Drosophila melanogaster: one gene and its partner. The protein of the gene in region 1 interacts with the protein of each later gene in a biochemical or structural test. Each region holds a gene or a part of one and is shown in the gene's direction. Other genes may lie near its edges.

Region 1 (4,987 bases):
AAGCCAGATACTCACACTGAAATCCGAACGGGCAGAGCCAGGGGTAGTGCTCGAGATCGTCGGGAATCGGTGTAGGACCTGGAACGAGAACGCCCATGAGAACGACCACGCGAGTGACCACGGGAGCGACCGCGAGACCGGGAACGATCCCGCTTGCGGTCATCTCGCGTGTGTCTTCTCCGCGGCATGTGCCCCTCCTTCTCCGCCAGGATCAGCTCGCAGTCACTGTGGTCGGAACTGGAACTGGAAGATGAGCTAGTGTGATGACTATGACTATGATGTTTGCGTCCTCTGTGTCGTCGTTTACCTCCATCGGAGCTGCGGTGCTTGGACTTGGTCTCCTTGATGGAGAGTTGAGATTCCTGCTGCTGCTGCTTCTGGATCTGTTTCATCACATCGTTCAGCATTTTCTGGGCCATGTTGGCCTTTCGAATGAGACGCTCCATCGACGGCAAGGCCATGTCCTCGACTTCCACGGGCGTGGCATTTGGCAATTGGCCGCGGCATCCTTGACATGCATCCGGCCCTGCATTTGCCGCAGTTTGCTCACGTGCCACGTTATCGGATTGCGACATTTTTGCACTAGTTTACAACTGACCCGATAAGAAATTCACTCAACACTTTAATTACTGATTAACTACTGTTTCTCTGAACTGGATATAACTGCTGCGGAATCTGTTGCTTATGTTTCGACTGCTTCACTTGAACACTTGAATTTGACTGGCTTCTGCGGCATTCGGTCGATGAGCTTTTATAGGCAACTTTGGCGCCAAGCTAATCGCGACTTTCGGACTGTAAACATTTGCCTTTCTTTATCAGTCACATACTCATACAAACCACACGATAAATGTGACGTCATCTGAGCTATTTTTAACCAAATCGCATTCATGGGTTTTTGGGAAATTACTTCCATTGATCACGTGTTTTTAATGTTACATAATTTCATTGCCGAACGTAACCTCAAACATATTTCATATTTTTGCGAAATTCTTCTTACTTTTGTATTTCTGCATATTATATGCATTATAAATATTCTGCGTATTTTTATAAGCATACCTTTTATTATTTTTTACGATTTTGTGAAATATGACATTATTTTGATATAATTTTAATTTTGAATTTCGTCCAAGTGTGTAATTTTAAAACAATTATTTTATCGTTTTAAATCATCGAAAATTTTAAGAATATAAAGTATTAAGAAATTTACACAATTTTTTGAAAATGTTTTGGGATCTTAATAATTGCATAAATCAGGTTTAGCACATTATTTTAGAAATACTAAACGGTTAAATATTTTACAGAACTGCTATTTAATTTTAAGGTATAAGACTACGTATAAGACATTACCGCTTGAGACTAGTATTTTTATTGTGGTATTTTCATGATTGCTTTTGAATTGTGCCCGCCAAAATATGCAGTCTTAACCACAAGCGGTTAAAATCATTCCTTACGTTTACTTATATTTAAAAATCGACAAAAGGTATAATAATTCAAAACTATTAAAAAATTTTAAATAAAACTAAACGAGTCTAAGTTTTCTTAATCAAAATAGCTGTTAATATGGATAAGATATATTTGGCGCATCCAATAGATACATTTAACCGCTGAAGAGAATTAACAGTGTGATACGCCAGACTGTTAACAGACTGTTAAAACGCGATTTCCCGGCTTTGGTATTTTTACATTACCATCATTTGGTTTCTCTGATATTTTAAAAATCTATATAAGCAGCTCGCAACGCATTCTCTCTGTAATTTTTCGGGAGAGCGCAGCAGCGCGCGCTGTTTTTTCGGTTACCATTAAAAAATATTATTAAAGAAACATCGTTATAACTTTAATGCCAACGGAGTTGCGGCAATTGAAACTGATTTTTTAAGCAAACGAACAATAAATTCGACGTGGAGTGTGCTTCTGCTCGCCTACATGAAGTAATAGCGATGTATATTATGATTTAGTAAATATAAATCGATTTAATTAATATTTAAACTTGTTGTTTTCCGCGAGTGGGCGCGTTTTGTTACCAAGCCGCTATACGATTTTCGTTTTTCCGACTTTCCTGCGCGCCGAACGGGTTTTTCAACGAAGCCTTGCTGTCTTTTTCCTCGTAAGCAGCAAAAACAAGGCTGAAAAACTAAATTAAAGCGACTCGCTTCAGCTGCAGATTAATCGATGTGCGGCTATAGACTTTTAATTCGCAGATTCATCATCGATTTTTCCTTTGGGCTCAGCTGCAGTGCGCTAGTGTACGTGTATGTGCGTGTGTGTGAGTTGGTCCTGACAATACAAATAAGCCGTTGTGTTAGGTAAACGGAACAACAAAAGGAAGTGAACCAGAGAGAGAAAGAGAGAGAGGAAACGGCAGGACGATACCGAGTCCTTGAGCGATCATTCATGCTCTTCTTCTTCTCCAGCTGCAGCTGTCACGAAATTTCGCGCGTGCACGTGTATGTGTGTGTGTGGGAGACAGGGAGAACGCCGAAGTTAGTAATTTCTCTCCACTTCTCAGTGTTTGTGCATTCAATTTGCACAAAATTGAAGCGACGCGCTAAATTCGCAAATTTCCGTCCGCGAATTGCCATCCATTATTTTGCACTCCCCCCCAAGAGAGCGAGAGCAATAATAGAATTATCAGGCAAAGCAAAAAAAAAAATCAAAACTCAAGCGAAAAGAGAATGCCCTGGGAGGCCGTAATACCAATACCGCGACCCTCTGACATTTCCATCGTCGCCCACCAAAGGAACAACAACTGAGCGACAAAGACAGCAACAATCCGACAAACAAACAAACAAAACAGCAAACGAGCGAATCAACGAACGAAACTCCAGCAGCAGCCTCAACCTCCTCAACCGCTGGCACAGTTTTCCTCCTTCAACTCCAGCTCCGTGGGTGAGTAGCTACAGTGGAACGCCACTAAGTAGAACATTCTGCGAGTTCTAAGTTAAATTGCAGAGAATATCGCTTTGAGCACAAACTGATTAGAAATTGCCTTCACTTGGTCTTAGAAAGTTTACTAATACCAACTGATACATCGTTTTTTTGTTTGTTAATGTCAGTTTTAAATTGAAATCGATTAACAAATCTTAATGTCCTTTTTATATTTTTTTATAATGGATGTGGGATATGGGGGAAAGGCAAATGGCTCTTACGTGTAAAATTTTATAGTTTTTCCATAGCATTTAAGTACAATTAATTTTCTTTACGAAGAAAATGAAAGTTTTGCTTATGTAACAAGCCAAATTTAAGCAAATATTTTGTTTTTTGTATCAGGATAAAAGTTAAGCTTACCCAATCTCCACTGTAACTCATTGGCGGGTAGAAAGTGGTTATCGAATATGAGCTGCGTCTTATGTTGAAGCCACATCGTCGTGTGGGCGAGAGGGTGGTTGTGGTGGGTCAGAGGTGTGTTGGCGTCGTGCGGCTTTGGTTTTTAGCTGAAATTAAAAAGGTCAGGACCGCCGGACTGAGGGGCTTCCGGATTTTGTATCCTAGCCACGTAGTCCGCTTCATTATGCAGCGTTAACTTTGTATGTAAAAGCGTATATACGTATGTACATATGTACATACATATATGGATGTGGCAAGCGGTGAATATAATTTCAGTTGCATGACTTCGGCGATAATCGATTTTGAAGCGACGAAGCAATCAGGAAGAGTGCAATTTAATGTCAGTCCGTCACTCAGTCAGTCAAACAGTCACAACTTGACACACTGCAAAAAGTTATGCTGCAAAATGGAGGTCAGCATGACGTTTTTGCATTAAAGATACAAAGGGAAATGTAGCAAAAACCAAACTTTTTGCTTAAAAAGTTTGGTAATACTTAATGTTTGCATGGATTTAGGCAAGCAATTGCGTTTTAAGTTTACTTAGAAAAGTATATACATTTGTCAAGTAAATAGTATCAATGTGCTCAATCGATTCCCATTTCCTTGAATTAATAATTGGTATATGCTACCATTTTTCCGGCCTGCTTAAATGGCGTTTACCATATTCATAAGCGCCCCGGTTGATGGAGCAGCGGACATGTTAGCCGTTACTCCATAATGCGACAACTTGGCGACTTGAAGTGGGGGATGTCGTAATGGAGAGTGAGCTGAGGAAATCGCTAATTAAGCATCAATTAGTGCAGTTTCCGGTGCAAGAGCCGCTAGAAGCAAGCAAGCCACCGTTCTTGTACTTTCCACTCGTCGAACAAATCGTGTGACACATTTCGCTTTCCCACACACCAATTGGCGATAGGAGTTATCAGCACTTTTCAGCTTTAGCACTTCTTACCACTTTGGCTGGCCTGCCCCCTATCCCAAAAGATAATAACACATTGCATTTTCAATGTGTTTCCCCTGATATACATATACAAATGTGCCCGATTAGCGGGTATCTCAATAACAATGGCCGTAATTTATGATAAACAAGTTTTTGAAGTGTGCGAAATTTAGCAGCTCACTGATTTGAGCCTGTTTTTGGCGACACACCACACTCCGCTTGGTACCCCTTGTTCAAATGTTGCATTGTTTATAATCAGTAACGGACTCATAAGCGAACACATGTCTGGGTTGGTTTTCAAGGTCAGTTGAATGGCCAGATTCGCCTCGTTTGTGATTTGGCAACCCCATGGAAACACGATAAACGAGGGCAAACAGAGCTGAATTCAAGCTGCAGCCTCATCATCTCGTCTTTCTCCAGACAATGGCCATTCGGCTATACCATTTCAGAGGTTTATGCCTTGAGAGAACGCTTCTGGAGACGAAAACCCGGCCTGGACTGGAACCTTGCCAAGACACACTCGAGACGCGCGTTGACAATGAGCGAGGCTCTCAGGCGAGACTTTCAGGCGTCTCCAGATGCTTTCCATTCCATTCGCTTTGTCTGTGCCGCTTTCGGCGTTGCATGCACTGCGAGAAAAAATTGAATTTGTATGGGTGTTCTATTCTAATGGTTTGGTTGTATGTATATCTACAGTTCACTTTTCTTATATCGAAAATACAGACA
Region 2 (5,103 bases), on another chromosome or scaffold:
TTTCTCTCAGTGTCCTTTTATGGCAGCTGCTCCGGCTGAACTGAGCTGAGCTGCGAGGCTCGTGCATTTCGTTAACGTGACAAAAATACATTGATTACATTTTTTTTAGCTGCACTCGACTCGGGGATCTGCGTTTTTGGGCTCTAGGAGCTAGGAGCTGGGATCTGGTAACTGGGAGCTGGAAAACTGGGTACTGGGTACTGGGAACTGGGACCTGGGCGCACGTCCGCACACTTGGCACATTTGTCAGGGCGACGCCGCGATGTAAACATCTTGCACGTAGGATCCGGGGTCCTTTTGCATCCTGGCTGGATGGCACGACAACTAGTTGTAGTTGGAATCGGAGTCCTCGTGCTGCACGGGGTCTTTGAACTGACAAATTACATTGACAACGAATGGGGCGAAATTCCATTCGTGTGCACTCTGAACTCCAACTCCTCTAGCTCCCCAGAACTGTCTCATTTTGTGAGGCTCCACACTGAAAAGTTTGGGGGTCAATGCCATGGCATTTCATATAAACAAAAAGTTAGGCATAACTGTCAGCAAGCAAATAAAATAAACAAATGTCAATAAATGACAATTGATTGTGCTTTTCAAAGTTTTCGGCCCAAACCATTATTAGTCAAATCAGATTGTCTATTTAGTTTACATTGTGTTAATGATTTAAAACTCTCGGTTTGGACACGATTTATTTGTATAGCCATTTGAAAATGGCATTTATTGTCATTTTTTTTTTTTATTGCTACGCGTTGTTAAAATTTCTTGAAAGGTGTCAATAGCAAACAGATGTTAAACGAGATACAGTATTGAATATTGGTTTTATTCTATGAATTTCGATCCTTCATAAGCGAAACATTGTTTTCATTTGTTAGTTTCAGTGCACTTTGTTCATTAGTTGTTTGTGGATTTAATTTGCTTACTTGGCTCTGTGCTTTTGCTTATTGTTTCAGTTAGTTTCGCAATTTGGAAACTATCTCAAATTGGCAATAGTGAAAAGAGCAAACACATCGTGGGCTCCTCTTAATTATTTTCACCGACGAACGGGTGGGCGATCGAACTCTTATGGCTGTAATAATTGGTGCAAAATTGTTCAATTGCCTAATTGCTGTCGATTGCTCATAATTTTTAGTGTAACACTGTGTATTTGTGGCACATTTTCGTTTTATGGCCACGAGCGTTCATGAATGAATGGGCTTTATTTACAGGGCATTTAAAAGTTTCGGGTAATCTTATCACCCAGAAGTGTTCAAACTTGCGCAAGTCATCAAACAAATTTCGAAACGGAAATACCAAAGGGTTGAAATAGTCTAAACGAAAAGATAACTGCCTTAAAATTGCGCCCAAAATTCGCACAAAATCGCAGTAACAATAACAAGCGAACCTAATCAAAAATCCAAAATCTCAGGCAGCTGCGCATGCGTAGCAGATGAAAGAGATAGCGAGAGATCGCACCTTTGAAAATGCTACCGGAACAGCTGGCGCAGAAGAGCGAGAGGGAAGACAGGAGTGAGTGATAAGAAATAGCAACAAAAGCGCATAAACCACCACCAACTACTACAACAACGAACGCGACAAAGCGAACAATGCTCTTCATTATGCCCGTTATTATTAAACAAATAGGGAGAGCGAAAGAGAGAAAGGTGAGAGCGCACCATGTTGATAACACACCCCGTGTAGCTAAAAGTTAGCCAGATTCACAATTAAAGGAGCTAGAAATGCTGATATATGCTCAATTTGATTTATGATCACCTATAAAAACTTGATACTGATAATAGCAGCTAATAATACTTTAATTTTCAGTACCTTAAGACACATAATTCAAAGTATGCACTCAATTAAAACATTGTATTAGATATCCTTAGCTAGAAAGTAGTCAAGCTGCCAGCACTGCCTACCTTACTCACCCAGGTAATTTGACTCCGACTCTCCGGCTTACTGCTCTCCCACCCCGGGAATTAGAAGTCTGAGTCGAAGTCGCCAACTGTAGCCGCTCATTCGATTCCCAGCAGTCGAAGCACGCAGACGCAACCGCTGCGATCGTCGCGAGATATTTGTGTTCGATCATTGTTTTCGTATCGTTCGGGTTAACCACGTTCGTTGAGTGTCGTGTCGACTTGTGTTTACCGTTGTGCAGTGTTAAACTATTTACGCTTTGTCTTGTGGGTGCAGCACCCCCACCACCCAGCCACCCACTACACATACGCACTGTCAAGTTTTGTGGTGCCCAAAAGTAATCAAATGACACGTGCTTGAAATACACATTTTACTATCCATCAGTGGCGGCCGAAACAACAACAAAAGCATAAGCCAAACTTGGGATTACCTCGGCATTGTTTATACAGGAAAGCGGTAAGTTTTGGCCACAATAAACCGTAAAGCACATTCGGAATGCTTTGACCCCAATAAGCTTAACAATAAACACAAATATTCAATACGATTCCGCATACGCCCCTCGTAATTACACATGCCTTAATTCACATAATCACAAACTACAGACATATGTATATATTTATGTACCTCCGCCCATTTATTGAAGTAAATTCCGATGGTTTTTATTTTTGCTCATTCGAGGACCTCGCTAAGCCGCGTTTTATGACTCAGGAGCCTCACAAAGTCAAAGTCGTCAGACCGCAAACTGATTTCGTTCGCTTTTCTCCGAATGTTCTTTATAACGTAGATCCCACAAATGAGTCATCCGTGCGCTTGGGGATACCGGAGTGGATACATAACTGCCTGAGATACGTATGTATCGTATAATTGGGGGAGGCAGTGGGCTAAGGTGACTGATCAGGTTGATGGGGAATGAATGAGCTGGGGGTGCTGGTGACTAAGCCCCCAGCATTGGATAACGCTAATTGGGTTGGGTAAAGAAATGTGTGCACACAGATGTGATAGTCTGCTGGCTAGGAAAGAGTCACCTCTAAGGCAGTTGTGAATGGGTTACATTGAATAACATTCCAGTCAGTCCTCAAAAATATCCAGTTATGTAGCTTGAAATAAAAAACATTTCTAAAAGAAGATTTTTAAGTTTCTTTGAATGTTTTGGTTGGTCTCTTACATTTTAATCAGCTTATGCATTTGAAGAAGTTGGCTTTCGCCACCTCGAATACTTGTTATCTCGACTCATCTGGAAACCTCAGAATATATCAGTGGCACGATTTCAATCTCACCGCATTGTGGTGTTTCGCAGATTTCCCTAATTTCAGTTTGCCCGCGCCTAATTGCAATAATCAAGGGAGCACCGCATAATCTCACTGATCTAGTTCCAGTTTAAGAGCGTTTCTGCGGTCTCGATGGCTCCATTAGAGTGCTAAACACCGGCCATTACGGCGGTCATCAGGAGAGGTGTTATTACCTGGACGTCTGGACGTGGAAACCAGTCGGCACTGGAAGTCACTCACCTGTTGCGGCCAAGAGATCGATATCATTGACAATTGGTGTCGACGGTAGCAGCAGTGGTATATAATGCCAGTTCGATATGTTGCTACCGTTAGATGGGAAATGCCAAAGCAATGATGATTGTCCATTTGAGTGGGATTAACGTTTAATTTGGCTTAGTTTATTGATTTTCCATCGAACAGGTCGGTTAAATGTCAGGGAATGTCGCGAAATGGAACATTTCGTCGATTGCATTTGCTAAACCATTTGCAACTCTTTGTTTTTTGCTCACTCATGTGTCAGTTTGACATTTTGCAACAATGGTCGATTCTATTGAACGGATTATGGCTGCCGCGACTTGAATAATTGCACGGTTTTAATGCGTTCATTCAGTTTTTTACATAATTAAATGATTGTTTAAAACTGATTTATTATTTAATTGTTTGCCACTCGAACGACAACAATTAATTATGCAATGGCGCAAAGATGCGATATAAATAAATAATAATTTCATTATAATCAATGCAACAGCTGCCAGTGGGCGCAAGTGATGCGCGGAAGGGGCGTGGCAAGCAATTAAAATTTATTACTCTTATTTTGCATTTATTCCATTTTAATTTGTCGTTTAAATGTCAAAACTATTAAAATAATTATGCTGGATGCCGGATTAATCAATGCTCTGGCCTTTGTCCAATCGATTTTGATCTGGTTGGGCCGTAACTTTTGGTTAATTAATCGGGGTTACGAGCGGGGAAATTTACCCCATCCACCCCATTCAACTTTCCCCCATTTCACCTTGTGTCCAATTTGTGCGGCTGACCCCAATGAGCCAAGTTCAGTTAACACTTAACCACCCCGCATATTAACTTAATTATCATGATTAACATTTTCTGTGTAATTTCTGTATTTTCGCTGGCCGTTCTCAGTTGAATTTTGCGATGCAATTCCCATTATTCGTACCTTTTAAACTGACCAGAACTTAAATTTGTTATTCAACACGCTTCCCTCGCTTTTTTTCTGTTTTTTTTTTTCTTGATTTGTTTATTATGAAATGCTTTCGATAACGAACCATTATCATATCTTCATGCGATATGGCAAAGAGTTCCGTTGATTTCTTTCTGTTTTCGCAGATTGAAGTGCATAAATTATTTTGTCTCTATTTTTAAATTAATTGGCAGATTGTCGCAGACTTTAGAATTCTATTTGGTCGCAAACTTGTTTGGCGACAACTCTATTAGGCATTTGCATATGAATTTCGACTGCCTTTTGTGCCTAATTAGCCGGCAAAAGTACAACGAACTTCGAAAATTGTCTTATTTTCTTAGTCACGAATTTAATGTACAATACATCAATTTCTACACTATGCAACACACCCAATTAAGTGCAATTTGTGACTTTGTGAGCCTCATTAACTCATCGCATCTCAGCTCAGCTATTTCTCCTCGTGGAAACCGGATTGTTAGCTAAACATTTTTTACATTACTTTGCCTTTGCCTACTAATGAGCAGAATTACTCATGACTGGCCCATGTAGATATAAATATCGATTGAGGGGCTGTTTTTCAATCAATTTAAACGGCGTGCCGTGGCAGGGGGAGGTGGTAATGAGACAAACGAACCACAGAAAAATTCAGTGGTCAAGGGCAGAGGGTCCTGAAATGCCTTCTTCACCGGCTTCGCTGGCTAATCCAATTAGAATTGCGCCGTCGGCTGGGAAGTCGTCTTT

Evidence for each region.
Region 2: the proteins of corn (region 1) and insc form a complex in vitro, tested with the Drosophila melanogaster proteins (one study listed by BioGRID).

What each region holds. Positions count from the first base shown.
Region 1 is NT_037436.4:7,153,835-7,158,821, reverse strand, and holds the start of corn (cornetto), read left to right. Parts: upstream 1-1,748; 5' UTR 1,749-2,886; intron 2,887-4,987. Other genes in the region: CG8620 (uncharacterized protein), read right to left, coding at 12-575.
Region 2 is NT_033778.4:20,832,916-20,838,018, reverse strand, and holds the start of insc (inscuteable), read left to right. Parts: upstream 1-1,990; 5' UTR 1,991-2,349; intron 2,350-5,103.